Macaca mulatta: one gene and its partners. The protein of the gene in region 2 interacts with the protein of the main gene of each other region in a biochemical or structural test. Links are inferred from orthologs where the notes say so. Each region holds a gene or a part of one and is shown on either strand. Other genes may lie near its edges.

What was found.
Region 1: the proteins of USP21 (region 2) and ISG15 form a complex in vitro, tested with the Homo sapiens proteins (2 studies listed by BioGRID, with this or other methods). The link is inferred for Macaca mulatta from reciprocal best matches to the Homo sapiens genes USP21 and ISG15.
Region 3: the proteins of USP21 (region 2) and YOD1 form a complex in vitro, tested with the Homo sapiens proteins (2 studies listed by BioGRID, with this or other methods). The link is inferred for Macaca mulatta from reciprocal best matches to the Homo sapiens genes USP21 and YOD1.

The regions. Positions count from the first base shown.
Region 1 is NC_133406.1:239,667,875-239,670,622, forward strand, and holds ISG15 (ubiquitin-like protein ISG15), read right to left. Parts: upstream 1,661-2,748; 5' UTR 1,575-1,660; coding exon 1,572-1,574; exon of another isoform or gene 1,474-1,571; coding exon of another isoform or gene 1,471-1,473; intron 1,057-1,470; coding exon 562-1,056; 3' UTR 505-561; downstream 1-504.
Region 2 is NC_133406.1:105,721,077-105,724,826, forward strand, and holds the end of USP21 (ubiquitin carboxyl-terminal hydrolase 21), read right to left. Parts: intron 3,550-3,750; coding exon 3,438-3,549; intron 3,246-3,437; coding exon 3,090-3,245; intron 2,614-3,089; coding exon 2,549-2,613; intron 2,292-2,548; coding exon 2,188-2,291; intron 2,006-2,187; coding exon 1,919-2,005; intron 1,630-1,918; coding exon 1,218-1,629; intron 1,132-1,217; coding exon 1,017-1,131; intron 805-1,016; coding exon 714-804; 3' UTR 434-713; downstream 1-433. UniProt on the Homo sapiens protein: Deubiquitinates histone H2A, a specific tag for epigenetic transcriptional repression, thereby acting as a coactivator.
Region 3 is NC_133406.1:64,800,980-64,804,729, forward strand, and holds the start of YOD1 (ubiquitin thioesterase OTU1), read right to left. Parts: upstream 2,582-3,750; 5' UTR 1,978-2,581; coding exon 1,635-1,977; intron 665-1,634; coding exon 1-664. UniProt on the Homo sapiens protein: Hydrolase that can remove conjugated ubiquitin from proteins and participates in endoplasmic reticulum-associated degradation (ERAD) for misfolded lumenal proteins.

The DNA of each region.
Region 1 (2,748 bases), about 130 Mb from region 2:
CTCGCCCAGCCCAGGCAGGTGGAGCAGGCTGTGCAGGCTGGGCTAGGGACAGCTGAGGCCCCCGGCCCCCAGTTCCTGTGGAGAGCCTGCCTCACAGCCCACTGGGCAGGCCCCAAGGACTCACCCCGCACAGCTTCCAGGGGCCCACTGGGAGCCTCCCCCGTAGCCTTTTGATTTGAGCAGGCTGGTCCCTGCCTAAGCTGTCTGCTGTCCCAGATGGAGGATGGGCAGGATGGGCTCCAGCAACTGTGTCTCTTTTTCTTTCCCTAGAAGTTAATTTCCCAAAGGGTGGGGAGAGCTGTCTTACTTCAGTTTGGTAGGGAGGAAGCTCCGTATTTTGATCCCTCGAGGCTGTAACTGCAAACCCTTATCCTTTCACTTGGCAACCAGGCCTGGTCACCAGGATGGACCCTGGGATCTCCCTCCTGACTCCTCCCGCCACTTCACTAGGGGTCTGAGGCGGACGCTGGAGGAGGGTCACGTGCAGACACAGAGGCAGCCATTTCTCTTTACAACATTTATTTCCAGCCCTTGATCTTGCTCGAATGCTGGTGGAGGCCCTTAGCTCTGCCCGCCAGGCTCTGTGCCGCCTCCCCGCAGGCGCAGATTCATGAACACGGTGCTCAGGGGCTTGAGGCCGTACTCCCCCAGCGGGAGCTGATTCTCCAGGGGCTTCCCCTCGAAGGTCAGCCAGAACAGGTCGTCCTGCACACCCTCCTGCCGGCTCACTTGCTGCTTCAGGTGGGCCACAGTCTGCGTCAGCTGTACCTCGTAGGTGCTGCTCCGGCCCTTGTCGTTCCTCACCAGGATGCTCAGAGGTTCATCGCACTTGTCCACCACCAGCAGGACCGTGCTGCCGGGGCCCAGGCCCTGGTTGGCAAGGGGAACCCTGTCCTGCAGGGTGGCGCCGCTGGGGTGGACAGCCAGACGCTGCTGGAAGGCATGCACGCCGATCTTCTGGGCGATCTTTGCCTTCAGCTCTGACACCGACATGGAGTTGCTCAGGGACACCTGGAACTCGTTGCCCCCCAGCATCTTCACCTTCAGGTCCCAGCTCTGCAGACATTACACAGGCTCAGAGGCTGCCGCACCAGTCCCAGGCCCACGACACACAAGGCCCTGGCTGCTGGGCGAGCTCCTGTGCCCAGGGACAGTGCTTCCTCCTGTTTGTCCTCTACATCCCATCAGCAGGGACCCCAGGCACAGAAGGCACTGAGGGGTCATTACTAGAAGGCCAGCTGCCCACAGCCATCCGTGGCCTCCCTTTACCTGCTAGGGTGCCCCTCTGTGCCCACCCTGAGGATCTCAGGGGTGACCTGCTTTCAGGAGCACACTTAGAACCTGGCCGAGCTCTAAGCAGCTCTGCTCTCCCTGCAACCCTGGGAGACCTTGGCTGGGGGAGGGAGCTGAAAATTGACTGGCACAGAGGCCTGCCCCCCCCCGAGCCCCCACCTGTGACATCTCCCTTACCATGGCTGTGGGCTGTGGGCCACGGGCTGGGGGAGACAAAAATTGATTGGCACAGAGGCCCCCCCCACCCAACACACACACACCTGTGACATCTCCCTTACCATGGCTGTGGGCTGTGGGACGCGGCACGAGCTCCTGTACTGGCAAAGATGAGTTCACTGCCTCTCAACTGCCGGCTCCTGCAGGCAGCAGCCAGCCCTGTTATAAGCCTGAGCCACACACGTCAGGGGGCGTGGCCGCGCGAGCCTGCTCCGGTGGCCAAGTTTCGGTTTCCTTTTCCCAAGGCATGCCCCAGAGTGAGCAGAAGAAACAAAACAGAATGGCCGAAAGACGGGGAAAAGCAGAAGGGGGTGGGCAGGGTCTCAAAGGCACTGTCAGGGCCGGGGACTCAGGACGGCGGACGGCATCCCCACCCCCACCCAACACCCTGGAAACACCTAAATATCGAGCATTCCAGGTCCTTCACAAGATGCACTAAAGCTGGTTGAATGCCGTGGCTCACTCCTGTAATCCCAGCACTTTGGGAGGCCGAGGTGGGCAGATCACCTGAGGTCGGGAGTTTGAGAGCAGCCTGACCCACACAGAGAAACCCCGTCTCTACTAAAAATACAAAATTAGCCAGGTTTGGTGGCGCATGCCTGTAATCCCAGCTACTTGGGAAGGTTGAGGCAGGAGAATCGCTTGAACCTGGGAGGTGGAGGTTGCGGTGAGCCGAGATCGCGCCATTGCGCTCCAGCCTGGGCAACAAGAGTGAAACTGTTAAAAAAAAAAAAAAAAAAAAAAGCGCTAAAGCCTTCACATGAACTAATGGTTTCATTTTCCATTTACCAACTTGCAAACAGTAAACATGGAAAACACCTCTATGGTTAATTCAGAAACAAAACCTCCAAACTCCCCAGAGATGACAACACTTGGTTTAGGGCAGTATTTGCCCAGGTTTGGTGTTTTTTGTTGTTTTTGTTTTTTTGAGACAGGGTCTCACTCTGTCGCCCAGGCTGGAGTGCAGAGGTGCAATCCCAGCTCACCGCAGCCTCCACCTCCCTGGCTAAAGGGATCCCCTCACGTCAGCCTCCCACGTAGCTGGGACCACAGGGGTCCGGCTACTTTTTTGTATTTTTAGTAGAGATTGGGGTCTCGCCATGTTGCCCAGGCTGGTCTCGAACTCCTGGGCTCAAGTGATCCACCTGCCTCGGCCTCTGCAAGTGCTGGGATTACAGGTGTAAGCCACTGCGCCCGGGCCTCAGATTGTTTTTTAATAAAAGAGACCTATCTTGTATT
Region 2 (3,750 bases):
GGGTGACAACCCTAGAGGGAAGGCCCCAGGAGCTTTGGTCGTAGGGAGAATAGATAGGGACACTGGAAGCCAGTCCACTGGGAGGTGGCTCCATAAACAGCTCCTTGATGTTAGCAACAGACCGGGCCTACGGGAGCTAGGGCCACCCGGCAACGTACCCAGTGTTTGTCAACAGCGGCATCCCCCATCGCCGACCAAACCAGACGCCCCAGAGCCTGCACGCAGCCTCAAGTATGCCTTCCCTCTTTTTCCTCCCAGTGCTTAATGTACACTGCTGGGGGGCACAGGTCCGGGTCCAGCACCATCTCCGAAACCTTCCCCCTTGGATCTGAGAGCGCCCCCACCTATTAGAGAGGGAACTTGGGTCCCAGGAAGACTCCAATTAGGCCCAGTTTTCTGTCACTCCCTAAGCAAAAATACAAATAAGCACATCATTTTTTCTTAATAAATTTATTCACAAAAAGTGATATTGCAGGGGGTCTGGGGGCTGTACACGGGCAGGGGCTTGGTGAGCTCTGTACATGGGGCTGGGAGACAAGGGAGCCTCCAGGTGGAAGGGTATTTTTTAATAAAAAAAATAATGGAGCTACAACCACCCCCTCCCCCCTCCCCGATTAAAAAGACACAAAAATAGACGTCTCTGAGGTAAACGGGGAGCCTGGGGCTTAAGGGTGTTTAAAGGGCTTCACAGGTGCCAGGGCTTAGAGAGGGTGTCACAGGCACCGGGGTGGCTCCTGCATCAGTTGGTAGAACAGCACGTAGCCCTCGCTGGATGCCACCTGGTTTTCACTGACAGGGGAGACACTAGGAAAAAGGGAGATCGGGAAAGGGTTGTGGTCATTACTGTTTACTCCCTTCTCCCTCAAGACCGAACCTCAGAGCATCCAGGAAGAGATCAGGCAAGACCTCCGCCTCTCCTTTCACCTGGCACTCTGCTCTCCTGGGACTTCACAGAAGGGGAGGGTGTCAGGGCTGAGTGGGAATGGGGCAAGATGTAAATAGGAGGCTGTTCTCACCGAGAGTCATTGTAGACATGCCAACCAGTCTGGCACCTGCACAGGGCTGTGTAGTGGCCATAGTGGACGCTGCCTGAGTGGTTGCAAAGGGCATACAGCTGGTATACAGGACTTCCTGCGGGGTTGGAGATGATCAAGTTCTACAATCAGAGCTGTGCCCCCACTCCTTTGGCTCCTTAGGACTTTCCCCACCAGACTCACCGGCTTTGTCACTGGCAAAGTCCCCTAGGCTCAGTCGCTGCAGTGGAAAGTCTACACCTACTGAACTCTTCTTGATGGAGCCTCGGGAGGCAGAAAAGCGATTCAGATCTAAGCCCTGGTTAAGGAGCATTTGGGAGGCAGTGGGCCTCTGAGGGGGACTTCTGTCCTGAAAGCTGTCCTCTCCCCACTCCCAAAACACTGGGAGTAGCTTGTGGAAAAGGGTGTGGCAGGCTTTTCCTAAGGAAAATTCAATTCTCTGGAAACATGGAGGGTGAGGAAAGAGAATGTATGGGAGGTATCCTAAGAGAAGTAAGAATCTGAAGATTAGGATATGGAGCACGAGGATTCGAGGGAATCTTTGTACTGTCAACTTTTTGGTACTTCGAGTTTTCTGCCGACATCGATCACACACCTGAATAAATGGCAAACAGTGTTAGGTTAATGCGCTCCTAACTTCAACTGGCTTTTCTGACACTCCAATCCACATATAAATTTCGTATGCACTTCATTACGGCTGGATCCTCTCGGCTTCTCCCCTTTGCTCTAGGAGTACTAGAACATATCTGAGACTCCAACACAAACCCAGATACATAAATATTATTCCCCATATTAAGGCATCATGCAATCCATTTTATCCACATGGAGTCCCCCTCCCCCCAGGTCTCCCGACCTTACTATATCCCTTGTGAACCTCCACATACTGGGGCATTCTCCGACTCTAGCTCTTCTTCCTTAGTGAAAAGGTTGAAACAATCCCGCAGAGACACTTTGCCCCCAGCAAATCCTTTCTGGGGGAAAAGGGGAAGAAAGGTCAACATGTTCTGAATTTCCTTTTCCAACTCTTCTCAATCAATCCAGGCTTCAGTTCTGCTCCAGAAACCCACAGGGTTCCCGCCCTCACTCTGGGGGTGGGTAGGCTTGGGTCACAGAGCCCCTGTCCTGTCCACCCCGGAATCCTCTGGAATCCCACCTTGGGGATGGGCAGGGACAGGTCACAAAAAACCTCGAAGGTCGTGGAGCGATACCCACAGGCCTGGCACTTGAGACAACTTTTCAACTGGCCCACAAACAGGTCTAGACAGAAGCACAGGGACAGGAGAAAAGGTCATTGTTGGATGTTATGAGATGATTTCTCGGATTTCTATCTCTTTCTGCCCCTTTGCCTGACCCTTCCTTTCCCACTACCAACACTCCTAATCAACTCTTCACACAGCTTCACATTTGCATCATCCAGTCTTCTTCCCATACCCCTCGATAGTATCAATTTTCCCCCCAAGCCTGTACCCCCCTCACACACTAATTTTCCCTCATTGCTTTGCCCCATTCCATACCCACAATCTTGCTGTCCTCTCGCTCCAGGTAACGTTTCCACATTAGGTTGGCTCGGTCATCATCACTACCACAGATCAAAGGAAGTGGGGAGCATCCATGAGACAGCAAGAACACTGGGCACCCCAACACCCACTGAAACGACCCACAGAGCCCTACACCCCACCCACACCCCTGCTTCTTCCCTATATTTCAAGGAAAAGTCAAAGGAATAATGCCTCAATGAACTTTCTGGGGAAATCTGAGGTGAGAGGAAAAGGAAGGATTGTACACAAGGGAAGAATATGCTGTCTTCCTCAACCTGTAAATTAATTATCCCCTTCTTCAATTTGGTGACATCCCTAGCATGATCTTCTGCCTCCATCTGCTCCCTTAGACTCCCCCTCTTCCTTCCTTCTACTTCTACGCTGCTTCTCACACTATTTTCTATACTAAAGGGTTTTCCTGGACCCTACATCTTTCATCTTGACTAGTTCAGTTCTATGAAGTGTAAATGCTGCTGATAAACTACTGGGGAGAGGAGGTAGAGGGAACGACCCTTACCTTAACTCAGGTTCTTCTAGCAGAGCCCCTCCTCGGCGGGGTGGAGAGGGAACTGGACCATTGGCAAGGATTGGTGGAGCCCGGCGGCCTCGGCGGTTGATTTCAAGGTGTAGCCGCTCCATGAGGAGCTTCAGGAACTCTTGGGCATCCTGCTGGCTACAGCCAGACAAAGAGTATGGGCAACTGACTCCCCTCCTAGTCCACAGACACTATTCCCTGCCCAGATACCGGTCCCCACTTCCTGGATGAAGAACATCTCAAAGCTCAGAACAATGCTGCCAGGGCCCTTGCTTGGCCCTACCCCCAGACATGGCCAGAGAGAAATCCCATAGCCTCCAGCTCTCCCACCTGTATCCAGAGAAGGAGGGAACATATTTCTGGAAGACAGCTCGGAATCGAGTAGGATTCACAGCTTCGCAGGAGTCAGGGTGCCAGAGGGCACCAATCACATCTGCAAAGGCTGTTAGGATGGGAGTAGGGAAGGGAAACAAAGGTTAATGTCTGGAAGAGGCAAGCAAGATGTGGCTCAGAGGGCAGAAAATAACCTTTAGGAAAGTAGGCACTGGGAAAAGTAGATACAACTGCCAGATTTAAGGGTTGGGGGCCACCAGTACTGGCAGATGGACCTGCAAGTGGTTGGGGAAAAAGGGACTTGAACAGA
Region 3 (3,750 bases), about 41 Mb from region 2:
TGTTCCCTTGCTTCTGCTTGTCCAGTTAATCCTTTCTGACATACCATGCATCTCAGGGTGAAGCGGTTGACATCAGTAAACTGTCTCCTTCTTCTAGCTTCATCTGCTAATTCCAGTGCTTGTACAAGAACAATATCATCATTAGAGGAGAAAATGGTCAGAGGAGGTGTATCTGGATCAGGGAAGTTACGCTGAAGTGGATCATAGTGGATGCCATCATAAATAAGCAGAACCCTTTTAGTATATCCTGCATCTTCCCCAAAACGATCAATTCTTACTGTCTGTGTATCCACTACACATATTTCACATTGGTAAAACTTGGACAAAATCGATATCTCTATTGCTCCTCCCCAAGTGTCATCCCTTTTGATCCAGTCACAGTACTCTTGATTTGTTTTTCCCAGTATTGCCTCACTATAGAAGTCCGGATCGCTTGCTACAATTTGTGCTATGAGGCGTCTCATCTCAGGGGCACAAGCTGGATTCAAGACTCCTCCTTCGACGACATAGTACACACTGGTAAAGAGGCAAGAATTGTCTGCTGGGACCACGGTTCTGGTAAGCACAGGCAAAGTTTCCCTGACGTAACTAGAAGCACCACGTTTAGTAAATGCAGGTGAACTTTTGGGCCTGGTTTGGTCTTCTTCAACGATCAGCATGTCACCTGTTAAAAATAAAACAAATCCCGATCTGCAGAGAAATTATAGAAGAAACCGAGTGTTCACTAGCCAAGTCTGTAAATTACAAACTGAAGGAGTTAAAGCATAAACTGGGGTTATTAAAGAGAAGACAGCTTTGCAAATAAGTTACCAGTAACAATCTTTGTTCACTGAATTTTCATAAAGATGAAAAAAGAACAAAGAACAAAGACACTTCAGGTTGCATCCCAATTTAGTGAAGCGGTCTGGAGTAAACAACTTTAAGCTTACCTAAAAAGATACATTTCAAAAACAAAATTTCCTTTCCTTATACAGTATTTTACAGAAGGTGCTCACTACAGAGTAGGCCGCTAGGGGGGTCTCCTTCTCTGGGAACTTATCTACTCTGAGTGTTTACAGCGTCCTTGATACAGCAACTGAAAGCTTTTAATTATAAACACTGATGTTCAAGTTTTGATATGGCACAAAAATAACTGCTACTGGTTAGAAATTGAAAGGGCTTTCAGTGGGTGTTTAAAAGCTGACTCGAAAATGAGTATGCCTGTCAAACGAAGTATCTATGAAGGGGATTGCAAAAATGAACCAAGAAAAAAAAAATCCTGCATCCTTGAGATCTCATCGATGATACAGGGGAAAAGAGACATAAGGACAGAGAAAATAGGCCCTACTTCTTCATATTTTTGTGGACGCCGACGGAAAACAAAATGGGATAGTTTCAAAGCCGAGCAGAAAGCGGATTGGGGAAGGGGGACTTCAAGCCTTTGGGTTCCCTTTCAACCCTGTGTCAAGACAAGGAGTTGCTAGACACTTGCCCCGGCCCCCGTCAGAGTTCTCTGTTCTTTGATCTATCCTCGCCCCTGGCCTCAAAGTCCCCCGCCGACCCACAGCCACCTTGCCTTGACTAGTGTTCTGTTCTCTCTCACGCCCCTCTCCGTCCTCCCGGGACTTTCCCTGGCCCCTGCCCTGATTCCTTACCAGATTGGATGGGCAAGTCTTCCAGAATGGTATCCCCATTGCTGAGATCCAGGCACTCGGGAGGGTATCCGACGAGGATTCGCTGACCGCCGGGGGCGATCCCGGTGATGGCGGCAATTTGGCTCTGGAGTTCCCGCACCCGGGTCCGGCTGGACAGCCCCTGCAAAACATGGGTGCCGTCCTTGGCCTTGCAGCGGAGCCGCCACATCGTGTCGGTCCGGCTGCCCACAGGCCAGACACCCGCGGGACCAGCTTTGGTCCCGGCAGCCGGTTGAGCGATGCCGCCGGGGCAACCAGGCGCCGGGTGGACTCCAAAATGGCGACCTTTAGCGGGGCCAAACATCGCGAGAAGTTGCGGGTTGTTACAGTTCTCGCGACGCTTCGGCGCGGCTTCTGCCTTAAGCGCGAACTCTTTTAAAGTGGCAACTGATTTTTCCCCCACCCTCAGAACGAAGATGTAAACCTCCGTATTCCTAAAGGACAACGGGTCTTGCTACTTGTAGAGCGAGTGAGGTGCCCTCCGCGTCGGTAGCATATATGCTTAAGAAAAGAGGGCGGGGGAAGGAGTTCCTTAATGAAGCTCTGGAGCTTGGAATGTGACCTTGCACTTAGTGAGGTCGGAAATTATTAAATTGGGGCTTCCACGCTACACCCAGACTACATTAGGAGAAACAGAATCATAGTTCACAACGCAAACGAATGCCAGGAATGGTCACTGAGTCAAAGGACCAGTCAAAAACAATTATACTTGTGACTAGACTCGTGGCTGCATTAAACATTGACTCATTGAGGTTCCAGGGGCCAAAGGACTGGCCTTTCTGCCTCCCTGGGACTGCTTGAAAACGTCTATTTGCCACATCAGAAAGCACAGTATGAGGTCAGCATCTGGGCCCAGGGCAGCTGCCTCATTCAGGTGGTGGCAGTGTAAGGAGGAGTCATGTAGTGCGTGTCATCAGATTCCAGTTCAGTTCCTGGGCATGCAAATATGAAGACTTCATTCCTGCCTTCATTGTAACAAGTATTGATTGCAGTTGGGAGACAGGGTGGGGTGTGAGACACACAGCCACTGAATTTCAAAGCAACGTGATAATGCTAGATTATGTGTACCTTTTCAACCGTGTGTGCCTAGAACCCAGGACTGTGAATCGCAAATAAAAAATGTTCAACAAATACTTGCTGAAAGAATAAAGACAGAGTTGTATAGACATAGAGAGGGCAACTAGAGCACTCTGGGAGTTGTAAAAAGTCTCAAAGAGGAGATAACTGTTTGAACTTTTGGAAGAATGAGTTTAATTCCCAGGCGAAGGAGGAATAAAGACATCCCTGAATTTATATGTCTATTTTCCAAGAAATCTATACTCATTGTTCTTTATCCAGCCGGTATCCAGACAGCAAGTCCCACTTGTCTAGAGTGTGTTTATCAAGCATCAAACGGGCCCACTGGGGCAACTATGAAAAGTGTAGTTCACTTGGTCCAAACTCACCTCCACTGTAAAAGACTTTGCTTCTGAATAAATGATATGTAATGTTTCTATCTTTTCACATCTTTCATGACTCAATTTTTTTCTGCTGGTGCAATTTTCCTCCTTGGTTCTTCAAGACACTACAACAGATGATACAGCCTGAGTTGGGAGGTAGGTAGGAGGGAAGGTAGGAGCGGTTAGAAGTCCACTGGGGTGGCCGGGCGCGGTGGCTCACACCTGTAATCCCAGCACTTTGGGAGGCCGAGGCGGGTGAATCACCCGAGGTCAGAAGTTCGAGACCAGCCTCATCAATATGGAGAAATCCTGTCTCTACTAAAAATACAAAATAAGGGGGGCGTAGTGGCGCATGCCTGTAATCCTAGATACTCGGAGGCTGGAGAATCGCTTGAACCCGGGAGGCAAAGGTTGCGGTGAGCCAAGATCGTGCCATTTCTCTCCAGCCTGGGCAACAAGAGCAAAACTCCATCTCAAAAAAAGAAAAAAAAAATTCCACTGGGGTGTATGGGTGGGTCCAGGGAAGCTTCTGGTTCAACGATGAGAGTGGTTGAGTTTCTTAGGTTACAGCGTCTGACCTGTGGAACGGGGTATGTATACACCCTAAGGCATAATTAGCTCAAGTGTTGTGGTAGTTT